Linked DNA regions of Daphnia pulex. The protein of the gene in region 2 purifies or fractionates together with the protein of the main gene of each other region. This does not show direct contact. Links are inferred from orthologs where the notes say so. Each region holds a gene or a part of one and is shown on either strand. Other genes may lie near its edges.

The links.
Region 1: the proteins of syndetin-like (region 2) and vacuolar protein sorting-associated protein 51 homolog purify together in Homo sapiens (affinity purification with mass spectrometry; 7 studies listed by BioGRID and IntAct, counting the BioPlex papers as one, with this or other methods). This does not show direct contact. The link is inferred for Daphnia pulex from reciprocal best matches to the Homo sapiens genes VPS50 and VPS51.

What each region holds. Positions count from the first base shown.
Region 1 is NC_060021.1:636,180-640,443, forward strand, and holds the start of vacuolar protein sorting-associated protein 51 homolog, read right to left. Parts: upstream 2,968-4,264; 5' UTR 2,771-2,967; intron 2,078-2,770; 5' UTR 2,015-2,077; coding exon 1,847-2,014; intron 1,774-1,846; coding exon 1,537-1,773; intron 1,473-1,536; coding exon 1,353-1,472; intron 1,290-1,352; coding exon 1,149-1,289; intron 1,048-1,148; coding exon 776-1,047; intron 704-775; coding exon 654-703; intron 587-653; coding exon 261-586; intron 197-260; coding exon 1-196. Other genes in the region: cap-specific mRNA (nucleoside-2'-O-)-methyltransferase 1-like, read left to right, coding at 3,416-3,449, 3,604-3,914, 3,979-4,134, 4,193-4,264. UniProt on the Homo sapiens protein: Acts as a component of the GARP complex that is involved in retrograde transport from early and late endosomes to the trans-Golgi network (TGN).
Region 2 is NC_060017.1:3,722,673-3,725,702, forward strand, and holds the end of syndetin-like, read right to left. Parts: coding exon 2,894-3,030; exon of another isoform or gene 2,885-2,893; coding exon of another isoform or gene 2,666-2,884; intron 2,575-2,665; coding exon of another isoform or gene 2,290-2,574; intron 2,230-2,289; coding exon of another isoform or gene 2,051-2,229; intron 1,988-2,050; coding exon of another isoform or gene 1,729-1,987; intron 1,661-1,728; coding exon of another isoform or gene 1,526-1,660; exon of another isoform or gene 1,336-1,525; intron 1,204-1,335; coding exon 1,082-1,203; intron 1,026-1,081; coding exon 836-1,025; intron 742-835; coding exon 628-741; 3' UTR 572-627; downstream 1-571. Other genes in the region: 60S ribosomal protein L22-like, read left to right, coding at 136-241, 302-343; uncharacterized protein LOC124195987, read left to right, coding at 1,526-1,660, 1,729-1,987, 2,051-2,229, 2,290-2,574, 2,666-2,884.

The DNA.
Region 1 (4,264 bases), on a different chromosome or scaffold from region 2:
CGATTGCCACCCGAGAGAGGACAAGAATTAGAGTCGGAGACGCGCTATCTTTCCCCGTTACGTTGCTCAGATTTGCTAACATAGTGGAAAGTTTACTCAACGACTGTACTAATACTTCTTCCCGTACGTAACGTCGACCAAATGTCTGACGGAATTGAGAATCTTGAGAAAAAGTAACGTGATTTCCTACAAAGGCCTAAATAAAAAATAAATGTTGAATTTTAACGGGTATAAAATGACACAGAACCTTACGATAATACCGTTAGAGCAACAAAAGCACGATGAATGTGTTCCACGAGAGCCCCTTCAATAAATTTGACCGAACCGTGTGGCTGATTATCGTTATTCCAGGAATCACGCCAGCCTTGTAGTTCACTTGTCCATTTGATAACAAGAGCGTCGGCTGTTCGATGTGAAATTATTCGAGCAATTTCAGTAATGAGAGTGAAGCTCCATTGCTTATCCACCAGTAATAGTCGCTGAACGGCCAATAGACGACGATGAAATTTATCCAAAGCCGCAACTACTGACAAACAGCAGGCTTCACTTATCTCGAATCCGATGATTTCGACAATTTTACTTTCCACTACAGGGACGAAAAGGAAATTTTATGACATGAGCTAATTTCTAGGGTGAAATATATAGCTCCTTACCTATTGGGCAAAGTTGATTAATAACATCCGTGGCCATGCTATTCATCCCCCTGTTAATTCAACGTATTATGATGAAAACGCAAAAAATTTAAACCATAAAATCAATAAAAAGTAAAACATACTCATTATGTTTCGATATGGTTGAAGGGAAAATGTTGTTGAAGGTTGCAATGGTAAGAGCAACGTTATTCAATGCTGTATTGCAGCATTTTTCAATGAATATGAGGACCACTTCTCCATTATTTTCACCAGACCACACATATGAGGATAGATCTTCCAAATCTTTTTCTAACCTCACTTTATTGATTTCAAGAAATTCTCTTGCAAGGTCAGTGGAAGATTCACCTAGTTTGCATAAAAGAGATGCAGATTCTTCTAGTTCCTGGGAAGTTACCTATGAATTCCATGAACATGTCATGTAAAATTCCACAATAGACATTTTGGTTAGTTTCTTATTATCTTACTTTCCAACATAATATTTTTTTTACAGCTTACCTCAGCTCTGCTGAATTGCACCTTTAGGCATTTCCTGAGTGTTTCAACAATTTCTTTGCAATCTGATTGGATTCCACTAAAAGAAGGATGATCTCCAAAATCTTGAAGAACTTGCTCAGATTTTGCATAATACTTAACAGCCTAAACAAGAAACATTATAGTTTAATACAGGAAATATAGACAGATAATGTCAATGAAACAAACCAATGAATAATTCTTTTCTTCTACACATGTTTTCAGCTTGTTGGGAAGATCAAACAAAAATTGCAAATTTTTTAGCAGTTCGTGAATGTTTGAAAGCTTTGTTATTTGTTGGCGCCGATCCTAAAAAGACAGGGTCATTATTATTAAAAATTTAATCAACTCTAAACTCAAATATTTCACCAACCTGTAAATTTGAAGATATATTGTTGGCAAATGTTGCAATATGAGACATGTCTTGAACTAACTTCTCCATTTCATCTTCCATAGTTTTGAAATCACTTTTCATTTGGCGGATGGTATCAGTGGCAAGGATAAATTTATTATAATTTTCATAAACCAAAGTTTGCATTTCTGAATCAAGTGATTGAATTTCACGAACAAGTTCCTGTTCTTTATCTATAAGTTGCTTTAAGCTGGTTTCCTATTGAAAAACATCCAAGCACATAAAAGTTTTATTTTATTATTTGGCAAAATAAGAAATAGAATATGATTACCTGAACCAGTTTGTCAACATAGGCATCAGCATTAAAGTGCTTTCCATCCACGTCAAAAAGGTTTTCTACATCCTTTTCTTCTGTTATCCCATAGTATTGAGAAAGAAGATTGTTTCTTTTTCTTTTATCGTTTTCATTTAGTTCTTTACTCATTTTGACGTTTTTCATTGGCACTGTTCACCAACTGATTAGTGATTACACATACCGCACATACATTTCTTTAGTTGTAACCACAGACTAAGAGGGTAAAGACCACGAACGGCTATAAACCCCTTGAAGCGATGCTCGTCCTATGCCGTATGGTGGCGCGTCGAGCACACAAAACGAAAGCCATTATTTTTCCTCTTTCCCTACTGATTAGAGTCTTCACACACCGTAAGTTTATAATTGAACCATTAACATATCAATAGTGATGTTTTGTGTAAATATAGCTTAGATATCTCCCATGTTGTGGGAATTTTTTTAAATTTCTATGTGATGTCTAGATACAATCCATAAATTCCTTTATTAAACCCCCTTTTTGCCCATTTTCAGGCCCAGGAAACAGCGTTTCAAGATTTTCTGAAATGGGCCTGAAAATCGTGAAACGCTGTTTCCTGGGCCTGAAAATGGGCAAAAAGGGGGTTTAATAAAGGAATTTATAGATTGTATCTAGACATCACATAGAAATTTAAAAAAATTCCCACAACATGGGAGATATCTAAGCTATATTTACACAAAACATCACTATTGATATGTTAATGGTTTAATTATAAACTTACGGTGTGTGAAGACTCTAATCAGTAGGGAAAGAGGAAAAATAATGGCTTTCGTTTTGTGTGCTCGACGCGCCACCATACGGCATAGGACGAGCATCGCTTCAAGCATCCCTCTTTAGCCCTATCCCTGATCGTAGTCTTTACCCTCTTAGTCTGTGGTTGTAACTGCAAATCGAATGGTTGGGGATTGGATAGCGTTAATGTAAGTTTTTGACGTTTCGCGAGCTGATGTCAGAATGTCTTAACGCTTCAAGTCTCAAACCGCCAACCCAAGGCATAAAAATAACAGGTAAGAAATTATGACAGGCCGGCTTGCTTTAGGTTTTGGATATGCAGTCTGCAGAGAGCTGCTGGCTGATTAGCTCATTACATTACACAATAATACCACCACACTAACAGCTGACCCCACCTTATCTGCTGCCCTCTATGTACTGATACTAAACTCAAAATATTTTCATATCAGCCAATAAAAATGAAAGACCCAGACTGTAGCAGACATCGCTACAGATATCAGATTATGCTAGCGTGAGCAAGAACGAGCGGTGTTTACTTTCTTCCGTTCGGTCATTCGATCGTTTTATTAAATCATTCGTCAGACATTTTTTTTTGTGTATTTTCAAGATGCTTGCATTTTGACTTCTATAGCCACATGTCAATGCGTACGTTTAATTCTGGTGAGTCATATATAAATCATGGAAATCAACTTTTGGAAGCTTTTGGCTTTTGAATTAACTTAAAAATTTGGAAACGTTATATTATTAGGAACGACGTCAGTCATCAAATAGTCTACACAACTACAAAACGCTAAACAATGGCTTCGCAAGGAAAAATAACATCACTGAGTGGTTAGTATGAGACGCTGTTTAAATTTTTTTATAGAAAAAAGTTGGTTTATCTTCAGCAATAATTAACCTAGCTTGAATAAATTGGTGGAACCCGTTTTGCAACTAATGGGTTATATATATATAATATAAGTAATTTCCTGCAAAATTTCTACAGATTCCAGTTCAGATGATGATAGTTACAGACCTCCTTTGAAAAAACCAAACACACAGTATTATAATAATACAGGAGAAGTTAACTCAAGAAAGAAACTAAATGACATTGAAACATGTGAACGTAGCACTGTCATTGTTAGCCCATCCAAAAGTAATGCTGATGGAGGATATGGGTTTAATGCACCATCCAGTAGTCAAGATTCTGATTCTAGTGATGATGATCAGCCTATCATGCCTTCTGTACATAAAACACTCATCAAACCTAAATCTGCTGCTGCTCCAGTCATAAATCATAAAGCCACAGCAATGATGGTCAGTTTAATATTCTTACAGTGCATACTATGTGGCTGCTAATAGATTTCTGAACTACTTAAAGGCTAAAATGGGTTGGGCTAAAGGAACTGGACTTGGTAAGAAATCCCAAGGTATGACACAGCCCATCGAAGTCTCTAAACAACGCGGAAGAAGAGGATTGGGTTTGCAGATAAAAGGATTGGAAGCTGAAGATGTTGAATGGGACTCAAGTAGAGAGGTTGTTAATGTCTACATTTATCTTGATTATTTCATTCATTCATTCTGTTGTCTTCTAGACTGTTGTAGTGGAAGAAGAGATTTCATGGCTTCATCTAGATTCCACTCCTGCACCTACTTTGCCAGAGTTA
Region 2 (3,030 bases):
TGATATGATGATATATCCATAAGATTAACGAACTAGAGTCTCTGAAAACTGATGTGTGGACTACTCTGAGACTATTGTTGATCTTTTTAGTAGGTAAATGTAAATCAGTGAATAAGTATTTTATGTTTAAATTAGGTATTTGAAGTATCTCACGAAGCGGTATTTGAAGAAGAACAACCTTCGTGATTGGCTGCGAGTCGTTGCTAACGGAAAGACCTCGTACGAGCTCAGATATTTCAACGTAAGTGAATAATATCAAGTGATAGTACCAGTAACGTAACTAATTTGTTTTTGTTTTTAGATTAACAACGAAGAAGAGGATGATGATGACGATAAGGAATAATCTGTTTCTCTTGTTCCGTTTTTGCTATCTGGTAATAAACGATGGCCATGACATTTGTACAATTATTATTGTGGAAAATTTCACTATTATTCTAGTTAAATTCGAAAGGTTCAAGTTGGTTTTAAAGTAGTTAAATAATTGCGATAGACCAATCGAGTTTTTAAATTCCTGATATAAGGTGACAGTTAAATGATGGAATGGAATAACCTTTTGACACGGAAATTCTGGTTGATATTATTACACATAACTTGTATTATCGGTAAAGATTAATTGCAACATTTACGTTACCGACGATTCAAGTCCAAGTCTTCCATAAACGAGGTCAAATTTAAACGAATCTTTTTACTTCCTTGACTTACACACTGGAGAAGATTCATCATCTGCCTTGGAGAATATTCCTGAAAAATGATCAATACAATTTTTATGTTGCTTTAACTTTAAACAATACTGAAACAAACTAAACTTCTCTTCAAACCAAATCAAAATTATTACCGTTTGTTCTTGGATCCATTTTTCCAATGCATTTTCGGGAAGATAATATGCTTTAATGTACGTTTCAACTATGGATGGATCGGGAAGAGGTCTTAATCTAGTTAGACATTCGACTTTCACTTGGAAATGCCTCAAATCTAATTGCATTAATGCACGGCCTTCATTCGTGCATTTCCGCACAGCGGAAAACCTATCAAAGGGTAACTATTTTTAACAACATCTTTAATAGACAGTTGAAGCTAATACCCGTCAAGCAGCATGTGATAACACACACGAAGGATTTGATCCCATAAAATGTTATATATCTCGGCAGGCAGCGTATGAGGGTAGCAGACACGAAGAACACTCGAATCGTAATCGTTCAGAACCTGCAGATATAAAAAAGAACGAAAAAAGCTGTAGAGAAATCGAATGAAAATTTTGCATTAATGAAGTATTTTCCTATTAAATTTCGTGGTCACCTATGTAGGAACGCCCATCCGTTTGCCAGATTTTTTTTATATACATACAACTGGTGGAAAACCGGAAACGGAAGCAGTAAAACAAGTAAAATAGTAACAATGATGACCACACCGACAAAAGCCTTTCCATACACAACTACTCTAGAGACCTAGAACTGAGGGCTTCTTTAGCGGTTTCAATTGTACATCAACAGCTTTTGGAATTGGATGACAATATTTATCTCCGAAAATGTGGTCCATTTTGCATTTAACCGTTTTCTTGGAATTATTTGTCTTTAGTTTTTCGTTAGAGTGGGGCACTCATTCACTTTTACAACCCGGAAGTTGTCCGAACTCTAACTCGATGTCACTCAACATTCATCAGGTATGTTTTACATGATAATCTTTCCGTTCAATAACATTAATTTGCTTTCATAATTTTACAAATATAAGATAACAGGGCAGTGGATAATTCAACATCTCCCATGGCCATTTCCCCAGTGTTGTCAACAACCCATTTTAAACTTCGAGGAAGATACTGAGAATCAGAATAAAACCGGAAACGACACTAATAGCCACTGGATAAGAATATCATTGGATTGGCCCAATTGTAAAGACCAACCAGAGACATGGCAACAACCATTGAAGTTTCGTCTTATGCAAAATCGAATCACCGAAGGGACATTTCTTATAAAACTATCCTGGCCTTTCAGTACATACAGCATTATAAAATTTAAGTTCCTGACCTAGTATATAATTTTTTGACATTTTTCAGACGCATTTGGTTTTGCTACACTGAATTTTGTTTCAATCGACTACAAAAAGTACGCAGTTGCTTACATCTGTCACACCTTTCTTCTTGAACACATTGCGATTCCGTTCATTATGGTACGAACAAACACAGACCTAGATTTCACTGATTGGCAACGAATGAAATGGACTTTGATAAAACAAGTTAGTACATATATCTTCGATCTTAAAAAATTCCCATGTTCTAACTCGTTACGAAAATAGGGTATCCTATCTGCATGGACTCTAATTGAAACGAAAGAGCAATGCAATGAAGTTATCGATTATAACTCTGATCGGAACGATGGAGACACATTTCATGAAAACCAACCAAACAGCTCAGAAATCTATGACGGCAGTGGCCACACTGAATCGAGTAATGCAGTAAGTTTCCCAACAAATACTGATGAAGAATACATACACAATGTACCATACAGTAAAGACGGAAAAACTACGGAAACGGCTTCTGTAGACCCTGACGCAGAATGGATAACGACAAAACATATTCAAGTACGTGTAGCCTTTGTCGAAGAAAGCTGTGAGATACGGTTGAGAATAATTAATTTCAAATTTTGTTGCTGATTTTTTTTTCCCTGAAAAGATTCAAGGACCAAACCAGAAACCAGAATATCCTACCCCGGACACTGTGCTTTGGCCGGCAATTTTAATGGAAAATCAACCTGCTTCAGACCAACTAGAAGGAAATCCCACATACACAACAGCTGCTGAAATTGCACCACTTATTGCACCTTGCAGCGGCTCCGGCGGAGAAGAATTGGGAATAAGCGACAGAACAATAGAACTAAGAGTAAAGAAATGAACACCTTACCTGAAGTATATAGTCCACGTAAGAACTGTGCTGGCTCATTACTTCTTTCACCTCCCACTGAACGCGGCTCATCATGTTTATAATGTGTTCTGAATCAAGGTATCTATGGGCAACTACGCTGAAGATTGGGACACGCA